Linked DNA regions of Medicago truncatula. Each later gene encodes a partner of the first gene's protein in a complex. Links are inferred from orthologs where the notes say so. Each region holds a gene or a part of one and is shown in the gene's direction. Other genes may lie near its edges.

What was found.
Region 2: the proteins of phosphoglucan phosphatase LSF1, chloroplastic (region 1) and beta-amylase 1, chloroplastic are in contact, whole or in part, in a cryo-EM structure (PDB 8J5D), measured with the Arabidopsis thaliana proteins. The link is inferred for Medicago truncatula from reciprocal best matches to the Arabidopsis thaliana genes LSF1 and BAM1. Residues at the interface, in NP_566139.1 of Arabidopsis thaliana: Met72, Asn73, Leu74, Glu76, Tyr77, Met78, Val79, Arg112, Ile113, Met115, Lys122, Leu131, Arg157, Phe266, Pro267, Glu270, Tyr271, Ala274, Leu275, Arg277, Ser278, Gly280; in NP_189034.1 of Arabidopsis thaliana: Glu208, Asp212, Thr235, Leu236, Pro237, Val238, Lys240, Gly241, Arg242, Thr243, Gln246, Asp250, Arg253, Tyr306, Ser309, Ser310, Lys312, Ala313, Glu316, Thr317, Tyr318, Trp362, Gln365, Met366, Asp369.

What each region holds. Positions count from the first base shown.
Region 1 is NC_053048.1:13,234,015-13,241,016, forward strand, and holds the start of phosphoglucan phosphatase LSF1, chloroplastic, read left to right. Parts: upstream 1-4,000; 5' UTR 4,001-4,059; coding exon 4,060-4,518; intron 4,519-5,490; coding exon 5,491-5,597; intron 5,598-6,599; coding exon 6,600-7,002. UniProt on the Arabidopsis thaliana protein: Starch granule-associated phosphoglucan phosphatase involved in the control of starch accumulation. Participates in the regulation of the initial steps of starch degradation at the granule surface.
Region 2 is NC_053047.1:35,874,277-35,881,446, forward strand, and holds the start of beta-amylase 1, chloroplastic, read left to right. Parts: upstream 1-4,155; coding exon 4,156-4,748; intron 4,749-7,170. UniProt on the Arabidopsis thaliana protein: Beta-amylase activity. Can use p-nitrophenyl maltopentaoside (PNPG5) as substrate only in reduced form. Can play a minor role in the starch degradation and maltose metabolism in chloroplasts during the night. More active on phosphorylated glucan.

The sequences.
Region 1 (7,002 bases):
TAACAAGTTTATTTACTAAAGAAAATTATTGGTAAAAGTTAGACAAATAATATTAGAATGTCTTAAATATATTAAGCAATTGTTTTATCAAAGGACCATAATGATAAATTATAGTTAAATATTTAAGCAATATAGGCAACGACTATAATGCCCTAAATAATAGTTGTATGATTAATATAGAAGTAGAATGATAAAACAACATTGAAGATTAATTAAGAAGCAAAATATTCTGGATAAATTTAAATATTAAACATATATAATTATTATGATCAAAATGTTCTGGATAAATTATAAATGAAGTTTATGATCGTGATATTGTGTTAGGTGTTTAAAACAAATAGTAAACTATTAAGGGTAAGAATATCACATACAAAAATTATCATGGTTCATCCAAATTAGGCTACTAGCAGTCTTCACACTTCATGTGACATTGTCCAATACAATATCCAACTATTAGAAACTTCTGAGTAGCACCATCTAAAACATCATAAGAAACACTAATATATACATTAAAACTATATAATTTCATATAATTTTTTTTGAGTGAAGTCTCATTTTGATTATTTCCCAATTTTCATAAAGAATAATTTCCAGCCCTAGTTTATAATAATCTTTCGATATTATATTGCACTTGAGAATTTAGAAATTTATGATTATGTATTAAGAATATATATATATATATATATATATATATATTCGTTTACAATTGTATAATTTATCATTTTTTTTATATCTTTTTATGCTTATAGTATTATATTAAAAATCACCCAATTGATAAAAAATTATTATTAAAATAACTCTTATAAATTAATATTATTTTAAAATAAATTTTGGAACGAATAAAATCCATGCATGATAAGCTGAAATAATTATCTAATGACAATGTGATATTTTCTTTTAAAATGATAGTTTGATCATTACACATTCAAAATTTGTTGCTTCAAACTATCCAAACAACATTAACTCATAATATTTACTTTTTTTGGTAGATAGAAGAGATGACAAAGTCATCATAAACTCACACACACAAATTGAAGGTACCGAGGTTCGAACTCCGATCATGATGTCCGGCCTAACAATTTCTACATTTTTACTAGTTGAGTTAGGACTTATGAGACTCATAAGAATTATTTCTAATAAAATGTAGGCTAAACTGCAGTTTTAACCCCCTAACTTTCACAATGGTGCGATTTTGGCCCCCTATTAAAAAAAATTAAATTTTAAACCCCTATGTTTTAGCCCCTTTGCAAAACAGACTTTTTGGTCAATTTTGACCAGGTCAACGCGGAGGTGTCATGCCACATGTGTATTTTCCCATTTATTTTTATTCAAAAAGCCAATTGTGTAATGCTTGAAAATTTTAGTGGCAGCACATTAAATTAAAGTGGCAGCACAAGAAATTTTATTGACCTTAACATCAATTTTTCTACTAACATAAATTCAATCAAAAGGAATAAATTTAACCAGGACAATGGAATGGGTTTAATTTTTAATATTTTAATTTATTATCATTAACAGTATATTAATGAACATAGAAGAAATACTTTGTTAATTAATAATGTCAGGAGTAAATATTATCAATCATTAATAGTAAATTAATATAACATAGAAGGAATAAATATTAAGATTGGGCCTGATTTTGCTATATAAGCCTAATAGAACATTTGCCAAAAAAACCATTTAAATACTCAGATTTATTCCACGCGTGGGACCCGCCTGCACAAAAGCAATTTGATGGCAGCATGTAACCTCTCCCACTTTGCCAACAGATCCTGACCGTTTGAATTTAATATTAATATATCAATGGTTCAGAATTGCTTTCAGCTCTTATATGCACAACTTTTGCATGGTGCACAAATCTTTTCCTTATGCATGCTAAACCCCACCCAAAAATATTAGTAACTCCAATTACTAGATAAAGTAGTGTATTTTTGTAAAAAAGAAAAAGATAAAGCAGTGTATTTTTACTTTGTAGTTTGCCCAACTAGCTGATATTGAACTATAGATTGCATTGTGTGCAACTTTAACTGCCAAAAATTCCAATATAGAGGTGCACTGCACAACTTTCTTTACAAAGAGGTGAGATATTGGGTTTGAACAACAAATTTGAGGGGGTTCAAGTATTAAAATAACATAACAAATAGCGGTAATTTGAAAAAGTGAGAGGGTTCATTTGAATCCCCTAAAGTTAATGTAGCTCCGCCCCTGTCCATGATACTCGTGTTTTTGACAAATACTAACCTTAACTTTCCGCATCCTCCTCAAGGTATGTTATATTGTCTTATTGGATATGATTTGTTATATTAACAATTAAATGGTTGTCATATTTTAATAATTACTATGTTTTTAGGTAAGTAATACTTGGTGAATTATGATTATCCAACACCAATAGGGTACATTGGTCCCTATAGATATAAACGTTATCATCTTCCTAATTTTAGGCGTTCAAGTCGGTTCGAAAATCATAACGAAGTATTCAATTACTACCACTCAAGTTTAAAATTCACAATTGAAAGAACTTTTGGGGTATGGAAGAATAGATTTGCAATTCTGCGTCGCATGCTGAAGTTCAAATATGAGACGTAAGTTTAAATAGTTGTCTCAACAACGACAATACACAACTTTATTAGAAGATGAAATTACAAAGTTCAACTAACTTAGATCAATTACAAAGTTTGAATGTAGCTTCTTCTTCAAAAATGGATCATGCTCGAAACTCAATTCGTGATCAAATTATAAAGCATAACGAGATGTATTGGATTAGGATTCTAGAGATTTTAAAAGACTTTTTAATTACGAAAAAGTCTTGTGGTACTCAATCAAGACTCTTTGCAACTTAAAAAAAGTCTTGTGGTATTCAATCAAGACTCTTTGTCATTTTAAAAAAGTCTTGAGATATTCAATCAAGATTTTTCATTACTTAAAAAAAGTCTCGTGGTATCCAAAATCATTCAAATTTCGAAGGATTGTTTAATAAATTAGATTTTGATGGATTTTGTGGGATTTTCTAGTGAAATTTTAGTAAGAAAAAGTCTTTTTTCATGAGATTTCTTGAGATTGTTTTTCTTTTAAAATTTTACTATCTCTCTTCTCTCTCTCTCTCTCTCTCTCTCTCTCTCCTCTCTTCCCTCCTCTCTCTTAAAATAATAGTCTGTATTGAGAATGTTATGATAGAGAGTGTGTTGTAATCATTTCTTTTAAAATCTTCAAGACTTTTTTAAGCAAAAATTGTCCTTTAAAATCCTAATCCAATACACCCCCCAATAATTAGTTTGGAATAATCTTTCGATATTATATTGCACTTGAGAATTTAGAAATTTATGATTATGTATTAAGAATATATATATATATATATATTTTCTTCGTTTACAATTGTATAATTTATCATTTTTTTACATCTTTTTATGCTTATAGTATTATATTAAAAATCATCCAATTGATAAAAAAATTATTATTAAAATAACTCTTATAAATTAATATTATTTTAAAATGAATTTTGGAACCAATAAAATCCATGCATGATAAGCTGAAATAATTATCTAATAAGAATGTGATATTTTCTTTTAAAATGATAGTTTGATCATTACACATTCAAAATTGTTGACTCAAACTATCCAAACAACATTAACTCATAATAATTACTTTTTTTTTTTTGGTAGATAGAAGAGATGACAAAACTATCATAAACTCACACATACAGAATGAAAGTATTGGGGTTCGAACTCTGATCATGATGTCCGGCCAACAATTTCGGCATTTTTACCAGTTGAGCTAGGACTTATGAGACTCATAAGAATTATTTCTAATAAAATGTATGCAAACAAACATAAATCAATCTACATTCAACTCACTTATAACGAAAATCAATTATCTCAAACTCAATTCTATCAAAATCAATTTTCGTCGAGTACAAACCAAATAAGAACAATTAGTTGTACTTACCGACATGATACTCTAACTTGCTTGGTAGTTTTGGCTATTAGTAGTGTAATTTAGTAAACTACCGTTTAGAAACCAGACGGAGACATTGGAATCTGTCCAAAAAGACACTCACCTCACATGCTGTTTGTTGACCCCAATCTCCCCGTGCCGTGTCTTCTGTTCTGTCTTCCTCAAAACTCACATGCTTCACTTCTTCACTTCCATAATCAACGCTTAACAGTAAAATCCACTTTTTCTCTTCTCTTCTCTTCTCTTCTCTTCTCTTCCACAACCATGCTTTCTCTCCAATTCAATATCCACCATCTTCCTTCACCTCAACTCCTTCGCACCAGTAACATTTCTTCATTCTCTCCCACCTCTCTCTCACTCTTCTACAACAAGCACCATCTTTTTCGGTATAATGTTAGAACGCTAAAAAACTATAGGGTTTTTGCAATGTCTGGTGATAATGACTCTGCATTCAAGATGAACCTCAATGAGTATCTTGTTACTCTTGATAAGCCTCTTGGGATTCGGTTTGCTCTTACTTCTGATGGGAAAATCATTGTTCACTCTCTCGCCAAAGGGGTTAGTAAAGTATTCACTCTCTCATTATAAGTATCTCATTTCATTTGTTCAAAATTCTGCAGTGATTTCAATGATAAAATGAATTTTATCTACTAGTGGAGTAATTTTGTGGACTGAGATAAAAAAAAAAGGGTAAATTAGTGAAAAAATAACTTATGTTTTATTGAGAAACATTGCAAATGAGACACTTATAATGATATAGAGCGAGTAACCTCGTTGCGTGTTGTGCACAATCAATGATTCATTTTTATTTTTTGTGATTTGTGTTTACCACAATTTACACGGTTAAAATAGTTTAGATCATAGTACAAAATGTCGGAGAAGTAATATGAGATGTAATCCATTGAATTCAAGTTGGGTGGTTGAAATGGAGAGTGCATCAAGTGTTTTATGTGATACGAAAATACCACTCAAGTTGAAGGAGAAATTTATCGAACAACTGATGGTTGAAATGGAGAGTGCATCAAGTGTTTTATGTGATACGAAAGTACCACTCAAGTTGAAGGAGAAATTTATCAAACAACTGATTTATGGGACAAACTTTGTCCCATAAAGATGTTGGGCTGTCAAGCACCACCACGAAAATAAATTAATGTAGTAGAGATAAAGATGTTGCATTGAGTGTGTGGCAAGACTGGATGAGATAGAATTAGAACATTAGAGAGGGAGAGAACTGGAGTAGCACCTATAGAAGAAAAGATGGTGGAAACTATGCTTAGGTGGTTTGGGCATGTAGAGAGAAGACCCGTAAATTCTGTAGTAAGGAGAGTAGATCAAGTGAAGACTAGTCAAATCACTAGAGGAAGACCTAGAAAAACTATAAGAGAAACTATTAAGAAATATTTAGAGATTAATGATTTGGATAGAAATATGGTATATGATAAATCATTATGCCATTGTTTGATTCATGTAGCCGATCCCACTTAGTGGGATAAGGCTTGGTTGTTGTTGTTGTTGTTGTGATTTGTATTGTTTTTGTAGGGTAATGCGGAGAAGTCCAGGATAATTATGGTGGGTGACACTTTGAAGAAAGCCGGTGATTCCTCTCAGAATAGTCTTGTTGAGATTAAAGATGTTGGAGATACACAGTATGTGTTCTGATGTTTTTTTCTTTTGATTTAGGACAAGTTTGGTTGGTGAACTTATGTTAATTTGGGTTTAATGTGTTTTCAAATTTTAGTGTCTATAAATTAGGGACTAAAAACATGCAACTTTGTATAGCTGAGACTGAAAAGTAAGTATACTAAAAACAAAATTCTGAGATGATTATGAGTTAAAAATATATTTATCTCATTAATTTTTTATTGCTGAGAAATATTTAGCCAATTACTGAAATGCTAACAAATAATCTTTTAAAAAAGTCTCATTTAAGAAATTTTTGCTACTTAAAATGAAAAGAGATAATTCCCTTACTACTTCATCCCAAGTCCGAATATTACTTTGACTATATTGTAGCTGTCTATTGTGATGCGGTGTTCTTGTCTCGAACACTAGATGAAATGTGTCCTAAACATCAGTTTATAAGTGGGGGCAATCCTCATCTTACAAGCTGGATTTGTAAGAATGAATGAAGCCCAACCCAAATTCTAAGAAAGAGATTACTGAGGCATGCACATTTCTACTGCCAAAAGCTAATCTCCTTTAAAGAACAAATGGTCTCTCTCTGCCCACAACTAACTCAATGATTCTCCCAGATACCCCTCCCCCTTTCACCTGTTCACCTTCTATTATAACAACAATCCATAACACGAAATGATCATTTTCTCTTTGCCTCATCAGAATGATCTTGGGCAGCTAATGTACTAATTGCCCATTTGGGCCCACATTATCATTTGGGGTTGTAGCAAGTCTTTATCTAAACTTAAAACATGTGCAAGAGTTGGTTTATAGTACCTAGAATTGATTAATTATGATTTATAGCAGTAAGAAAAAAAGTACTAGATTGGCCCTCTGTTGTAAGATATTATAGAAAGATGCAAAGTTTTTTCTTTTGGGTGAAATGACTCAAAGTTGCTCTCCCATCATCATCATAATCTATTCTGTTCATCAGTGTTTTGTTTTCATTTTTTTCAGTCTTTTGGTTTCCTCAGGAAGGTGCTAAAGGAGCAAACAAGTTCTTTTAGCTTGGTTCTTGAGAGGCCCGCATCTACATTTCCCATTCAACTGCTGCATAATAAGACGAATGATCTTGAAATAGTATATAATAGAGGTCGAGTTCCTGTTGTCACATGGAACAAGACACTATTAGCATCAAATTTACAACCATCTAGTGATAGCTGTGGGAATTCTGGATTTTCGACGTTCAACTCAAAGTTTCTTAATTCAAATGGAAGCAAGTTATTGAGCAATCAAAATCAACATGCCATCACCCACGGTGAAAGAAATTCCTTAACTGAACAAACAATACAACTTGCTTGCGTTTTCACTGACGAAGCGAGTAGAGATGGAGATTGGGCTCACGGAAGTTTTCCACTTGAGGAATATATTCAGGCT
Region 2 (7,170 bases), on another chromosome or scaffold:
TTATTTTTTTACTTAAAAATATCATTAGTCCCTGCACTTTCAACATTTTTTTATATTAGTCCCTGCACTTTGATATTAGTCCTTGAACTTTTTTTATTTTTAAATACTTTCAATAAAATTATTATGTTTTAATTATTGTTTTGTTCATTATTTTTATTGAGAATGATCATAAAAAAATAAAATCAAAAAATCTTTGTTTTTTCAAGAATCTAATCACATATCGTTGCGACTCTCAGTGAAGAAATTTGTTTTTTCAAATCAATTATTTAATCAACTTAAAAAATTGTAATTTGTTAAGTATTTTACCTTTTTTTTGTATATAAATGCTACATTCTTCTTTTCTTTTAGGAATTTGTCTCAAAATTAAGTTTGTTTTTTTCTTTTTGTCAAGTAGTCTAGTGGTTAAATAAATTCACCGTAAAGATGAATAAGTGAAGTGTCCGAGATTCAAACACCGGCCCCTGCACATATTGTATATTTTCCCTTGCCAAATGAGCTAAGCTCATGGGGATAAATTAAGTTTGTTTCTATTCCAAAGAAAATCTACTTACAAATATCCAAGAACTACTCGTTGTATATATCTTCCATATCTAACAAAATTACATATTGCGTATGAAAAGCAAACAATCTCTAAACAATTAGGTTTAGAAAAATGTTACATCGACATCATTTATTTTCATACACCCTTGTACACCCCATGCAGTAGGAAGAGGGAAGAGAAGATAAAAGAGAAAGTGTGCTTGTGTGGGGTCCACATGACCGTGTCAGATTTTTGTGTGGGTGTCAAGGGTTGTATTGCCACCTAAGGATGTTTATGTATCATTTTTCTTAGGTTTAAGGCTTTAGGTTACTCACGCCTAATAGCTTAGATACTTAAGCAAAGAGAATAGAGTTTAAGATAATTAAAATGATTAGACAAGTATTGCCACCTAAGGATGTATATGTATCATTTCTCTTAGGTTTAAGGCTTTAGGTTACTCACACCTAATAGCTTAGATACTTAAGCAAAGAGAATAGAGGTTAACTCCCTCTGTTCCTTTATATGTGTCGCTTTTGCCCAATTTGCTACAACCAAGGCAGGGCATAACTAGCTCTCTTTTTCCCTTTCTACCCTTAATACTATCATTAGTGTAACTTTTCCTTGGTACTCCACGTTCAACAGAGATGTTACTCGAAATGCATTGCTTTTATCAATCAACCGTTCAACTTAAATGCATGGCTCACATTTTTTTGACAAACGCATGGGAAGCCCAAAAGCCAAATCCCAAAACAAACTATCAATAAAAGTAATCACACGTACTTCAATTTTTTTTCTTCTTTTGTTTCTGAATTTTTAAAAGGAGTAACAAATCAACCTTGTCTCCAACTTAATTTTTTGTTTGAACTTCCCTCCAACTTTTTTAATCAAAATTTATCCCTCCCACCAAATAAAAAGTAAAATCACCAATAGTTGAAGTATATATATGGCAATTTGCAGATTTTATAACTCATCAAATATGGCATCAAACATTAGTATATTTTCATTATGTGATATAGATTTAAATGTTGAATTTACACCTTTGTTAGATCTTAATTTTGATGCAGAAGTAATCTTTTCTCATGAAGAGGCTGAAGAGTTCAGCAATGATATTGGTATTGTATTTGTTCATTTATGTGCATTTAGCTTTGTCACCTTTGTTACACTACTAAAGTTTTCTTATTCTTCATTTTTCTTTAACGTGTATGAATGCTGAGACAAAGTCTTTAGTCATGATTTCTTCCTTAGAGTAAATAGTCAGTTACCCCCCGAAATTATAAGTTTCGTCAATTACCCCCTTGAAATTAACAAAACTTAAATTACCCCCCTGAAATTGCACAACGTTAATCAATTTACCCCTATGTCAAATTTTTCTGTTAGTCAACATAACGTTTTGCAAATACTCCCCCTGAAGTTTTGCACTTATGTGCAAAATGCCCCCTAAACTTGAAAATTTATATTTTGTTTTCTTATCCTTAAAAGTGATTGTATTATCACTGAATTTTGGAGCATATTAGCTAAGTTTTGACGATATACAACCATATATTGACAGTATTGTAGAATAAATTAGCAGTATTTGATAAATCCTACAATAATGTTCAAAACTCAAGAATATTTACAAAACAAACATAAAAATATTTCTTTGTTCCAACATCAGATGTTTTTTCTTTTTCAAGTTGTCCTTAACCCCATCAGAGATCAAAAGGATGGTGGCTATCATGTTTTTTTTATTCTCTTAAAAAAAACATAATGAAATATACATAATATAATATTATTACATGGTTAATGTTTGATCGTTTAAAGGAACATATATGGTTGTATACCGTCAAAACTTAGCTAATATGCTCCACAATTTAGTGATAATGCAGTCACTTTTAAGGATAGGAAAAAAATATATAATTTTTCAAGTTCAGAGGACATTTTGCACATAAGTACAAAACTTCAGGGGGGGTATTTGCAAAACGTCATGTTAACTAACAGAAAAATTTGACGGAGGGGGTAAATTGATCAACGTTGTGCAATTTCAGGGGGGGTAATTGAAGTTTTGTTAATTTCAAGGGAATAATTGACGAAACTTACAATTTCAGGGGATAATTGACTATTTACTCCTTCCTTATTATTTGTTCATTTATTGTCCAAATCATGGAGTATTCTCTTTAGCTTATTTGTTCATGTACGTGTACTCTCGAGTTATTTTCTTTAGTTCAATGATCCTTCCTCTGTTTTTCTTTCATTGTTGTACAATGAACCTTCCACTTTTTTTCTTCATTGCTTATCAAAGCAATTTCTTGTTTCATGGATATTTCCTTTTTCATGTTCATACGTTGGGTGTTTTTTTTTCTTGGAATAACATAAGCATGGTTAGTGTACTGTACATATTAAAAGTGAAATAGTTGTGGAGCTCTATGTATTGGAACAATGAAGAGTGGGTTTATTGCATTTATTAGCTGAAAGAATTTTTGTAGTCTCGATAAAAATGTGTCTGATGGAGTAGAGGAATTGGATTAGGCTAAATGATACTGTGCAATATATGTGTCTGATTTAGTAATTGAGAGGTTAAGGGTATAATTGACATATTACAATCTTAAACTCTAAAAGTGATACTTAAGCAGGAACAATTTTTTTAGCAAATGTGACACTTAAGAAGGAACGGATGGAGTATTATCTAATTAAATTGACCCATTTTATTTTTCAATACAATAATAATTTTTTTTTTCAATTATAACTCTAATTAATACCACTTTCATCACTTTTAATTTAATATATTCTACTTTGCATTTATAATAAGGAAGATTGCACTAATACTTAATAAGACATTCAAAATTATTTTTCTTTCTCTTTCAATTATACATTTTTTTAATATATATGAAACGAAAAAAGAAATTCATTTAAAATGTGACGGAGGGAGTATTAAATAGCTTATTACAATCCTATACAAATCATAAAATATCTCATCATTTAAATGATATATTTATATTTATCTAAAAAAATAGATAAAAAAAATTTCGGACACAAGATATCAAAATTGTGTGTCGACATATAAGTGAATCAAAAGAAAAATCCAATCATGTTTTTTCTTCCAAAAAAATCCAAGTATGTCAAATGAACAAAAACGTTCATCTTCCCTTCCTTCTATTTCCACTGGTTCATCAGTACACGTGCAAATTCCTCAATCTCACATGAATCTTCGCTCAATCTTTCTCTCTCTTCCCTTATCTCTCTCATACACAATCCAAAACCACCGTCACGACACGTGATCCATCACTTTCCAACACGTGTCATCCTTTCACATATTCACCAATCTTTCAGCATCGCATTTTCTGGTATCTTCACGCGTAACACATATCTCACCGTTCATTTCTTCAACCAATCACACCATCTCCACCGTTCCTGTACTCTACCGTCCATCATTCCTCCACGCAACACTCTTACGCGTGTCACTTAACCAACGGTCATATCAAAAATATTAATTTTTTTTATCTTATCTTCAACCCCCCTCCCTTTCCTTATAAACTCTCATCTCTGCTTCTTTCTTTCCATTTCTAATACCCGTGTCCAGCAAAGTAAAACACAAGACAATTTTTCATACACTTTTTCAAATTTCTGCTATACATTTTCTTCCAATTCTTTCAAGTTTGATGGCCTTGAACATGACTCAGATTGGCAGTCTCGTCGGAACACCGATACCGATTGAATCAACATCAACAGAGCCAACAACAGCTTCCATGAACGCAGCAGCAGTATGGAAAACACCAGCAACGAATCTACGTTGTCAAGTAACTCGATCAGAAGTTATAGAAAACGGATTATCACCACCTATGAGTCCATGTAGATCACCGGTACTAAGCGGTACCGGAATCAGACCAGATCTGACATCGGCTGCTCAAGCATTTACCACTGAGGTGGAGAACGAATATGTATCGGGAGGGAAGACGAAGAAAGAGAAGAGTGGAGTCCCGGTGTATGTGATGATGCCGTTAGATAGTGTGACGATGGGGAATGGTGTGAATAGGAAGAAGGCGGTGAATGCGGCGATGGCGGCGTTGAAGAGTGCTGGAGTGGAAGGAGTGATGATGGATGTGTGGTGGGGATTGGTGGAGAGGGAGAAGCCAGGAGAGTATAATTGGGGTGGGTATATGGAGCTTATGGAAATGGCGAAGAAACATGGGCTTAAAGTTCAGGCGGTTATGTCTTTTCATCAATGTGGTGGTAACGTCGGTGATTCCGTCACGTGAGTCTCTTTCTTCATCCTCTTTTAGAATAAAAATAATTGTTGTTATTTAATTTAATTAATATTTGCTAACTATGCCAGTAGATGATAATTATATTTAAATTTTTAGTTTAATTGATAATGGCTAGGATGAGGATAGCAACCATGTTAAGAGAATATAGGAGAGAACACTCCACTTAATTCTATTTTATCATGAAAATATTTTAGAAACAAATATAACATAGTCCACCTTACATGTTTTGTGACAATAATGTGTTAATTTTTTTATGAAATTTGGAATTTGAAAACTTTTGTATAAAATTTGTTTTTAGTACAATTTTTTTTTTTGCAATAATTTAGTACTAATTAATGTATTTTCATTTGATTTATTATTTTTAATTTTAAGGCATTAATTTATTTTAGACATTAATGAGAATTTTATATTGTCACTCAATTATAACCAAAGTAACATTGAAAATATTTGACTTTAATCATAATTACATATAAAATTGTTGTTTGACTTTAGCAATAATTGATTATAAAATCGCACTAATTTGATTTAAGGTATTAATTTGAATTGTGATTATGATTTGTGGATCATGTAAAAAATTTACACCCATTTTGTTTATCAAAATAAAATAAAGTGTGCCTTTACAAAGTCCTAATTAAAAATTCAAAACTAAATGTTTAGAATTTTATTTTTTAAAATTAATTTTAGTGTCTGAATATGTTCGGTTCTACGTTGATAACAATTCATTTAGTCAAACCTCTAGAGTTAGCCACATATGATAAGAATTTATTTAGCACAACCTCTAGAAATAGCCAAATATTATAAGATCAATTTACAATTTCTACAACCAATTTCGGAAAAAATTGAAAAAGAAAAAAAATAGTGTTATAGACGTTCTCGTTTTAGCACTCTTTTATTTTTTATTAGGTGAAATTTATGTGGATCTTATATTTTGAAAATGGATCTCACATAAAGAGGTGAGACTTACATAATTTTTTACATAAAAGTTAATGTTTAAAGAGTTTTAGAAGGAGAGTGTTATTAGCATTTCTCATTAAACTAATCATACACTTAATTAGAAGGAAATTTAGTACTCCCTCCGTCCCTAAATAAGTGACCTATTTGACCATTTTACACAGATTAAGAAAAGTGTAAAGATGAAAGAAAGAGAGTGATACTTTTACTGGGTTGCCCTTGTCATTATTTTGAAACTTTTTCACTTTTAAGTAATGATTATTTTTTTTGTTCCACTACAAACTTTAACATGGGGACCACAAAAAGTATTTATAAGGGGTAAATCTGTCAAATTTTGCCTAGAAATCTGAGAAGGTCAAGTATTGTGGGATAAATATTTTTTACAAATAAGTCACTTATTCAGAGACGGAGGGAGTACCACCCAATTGTTTTTTGGGTCTTGCTAACCAATGCCTTCAGGCAATGGTTAAGGAAACAAAAAATAGTAATTTTACATTGAAAACTACAATTTTCAAACTTTTAAAAAGTTGAATTCATCACTTTTTACTACTTTCCAACACAATATTTTTATTATTGTTCTCTTAACCAATGCCCTGAAGGCACTATTTAACATTTGCCTTGTTTTTTAGTTTTTGAGATATCTCAAATTAGATTATAGTTGTAGCAAGAAAAAAGTTTCAATGAAAACATATTATAGTTGTAGCAAGAAAAAAGTTTCAATGAAAACATATTTGATGTGGTATACCAGTCCGAGAAAGTGTTTTGGTAGATAAATAATCAACTTGTTGAATGGAATATACGGATATTATTACACGGCCTTTGATGATGATTTTTATAATTCTTAGTTATGCTAATGCTCCCTCCGTTTTTTAAATATAAGTAAAATTGACTTTTAAGGTTCATTCATTTAATGATGTATGTGGTTTAAAAGTCAATTTTGCTTATATTTAAAGACGGAGGGTGTATAATTTTTCATACATTAGTCGAATCTGATGTGAGTTTAAAGCTAAAAATGAATGAATTTAAAGTGTGTGGTTTTGTGTGAAGATGAGCTTGCCATGTGTTTCGGGGTTGGACTTTGTATTTTATTTTTTTTTTGCTTCTAAACTTGGTTTTGCTTTTCTTTAGAAGGGAAAAGACTTCACTGGGAAAAAGTAGTTGGAACTTGGAATTGAATCTTGAAAATTGCTGTATTTTGAAATATTATATAAATGTTAATTACATTTCATTTCACGATTTTTCTTTATTGTAGTATTTTGACATTCTTTTTAAACTAGTGATAAAATTATTTTCAATATCCTAACTCAATTGACAAAATATTAAAATTGTTAGGCTGAATAGTATGATCAAGATTCGAATCTTGACCCCTCGCCCTCCCCTCCGCTTGTGTGTATGATTGAATTTCAATGGTTATTTATTATTTTGTCTATTTATTATTTACGTAAAAATTTCTCTAAA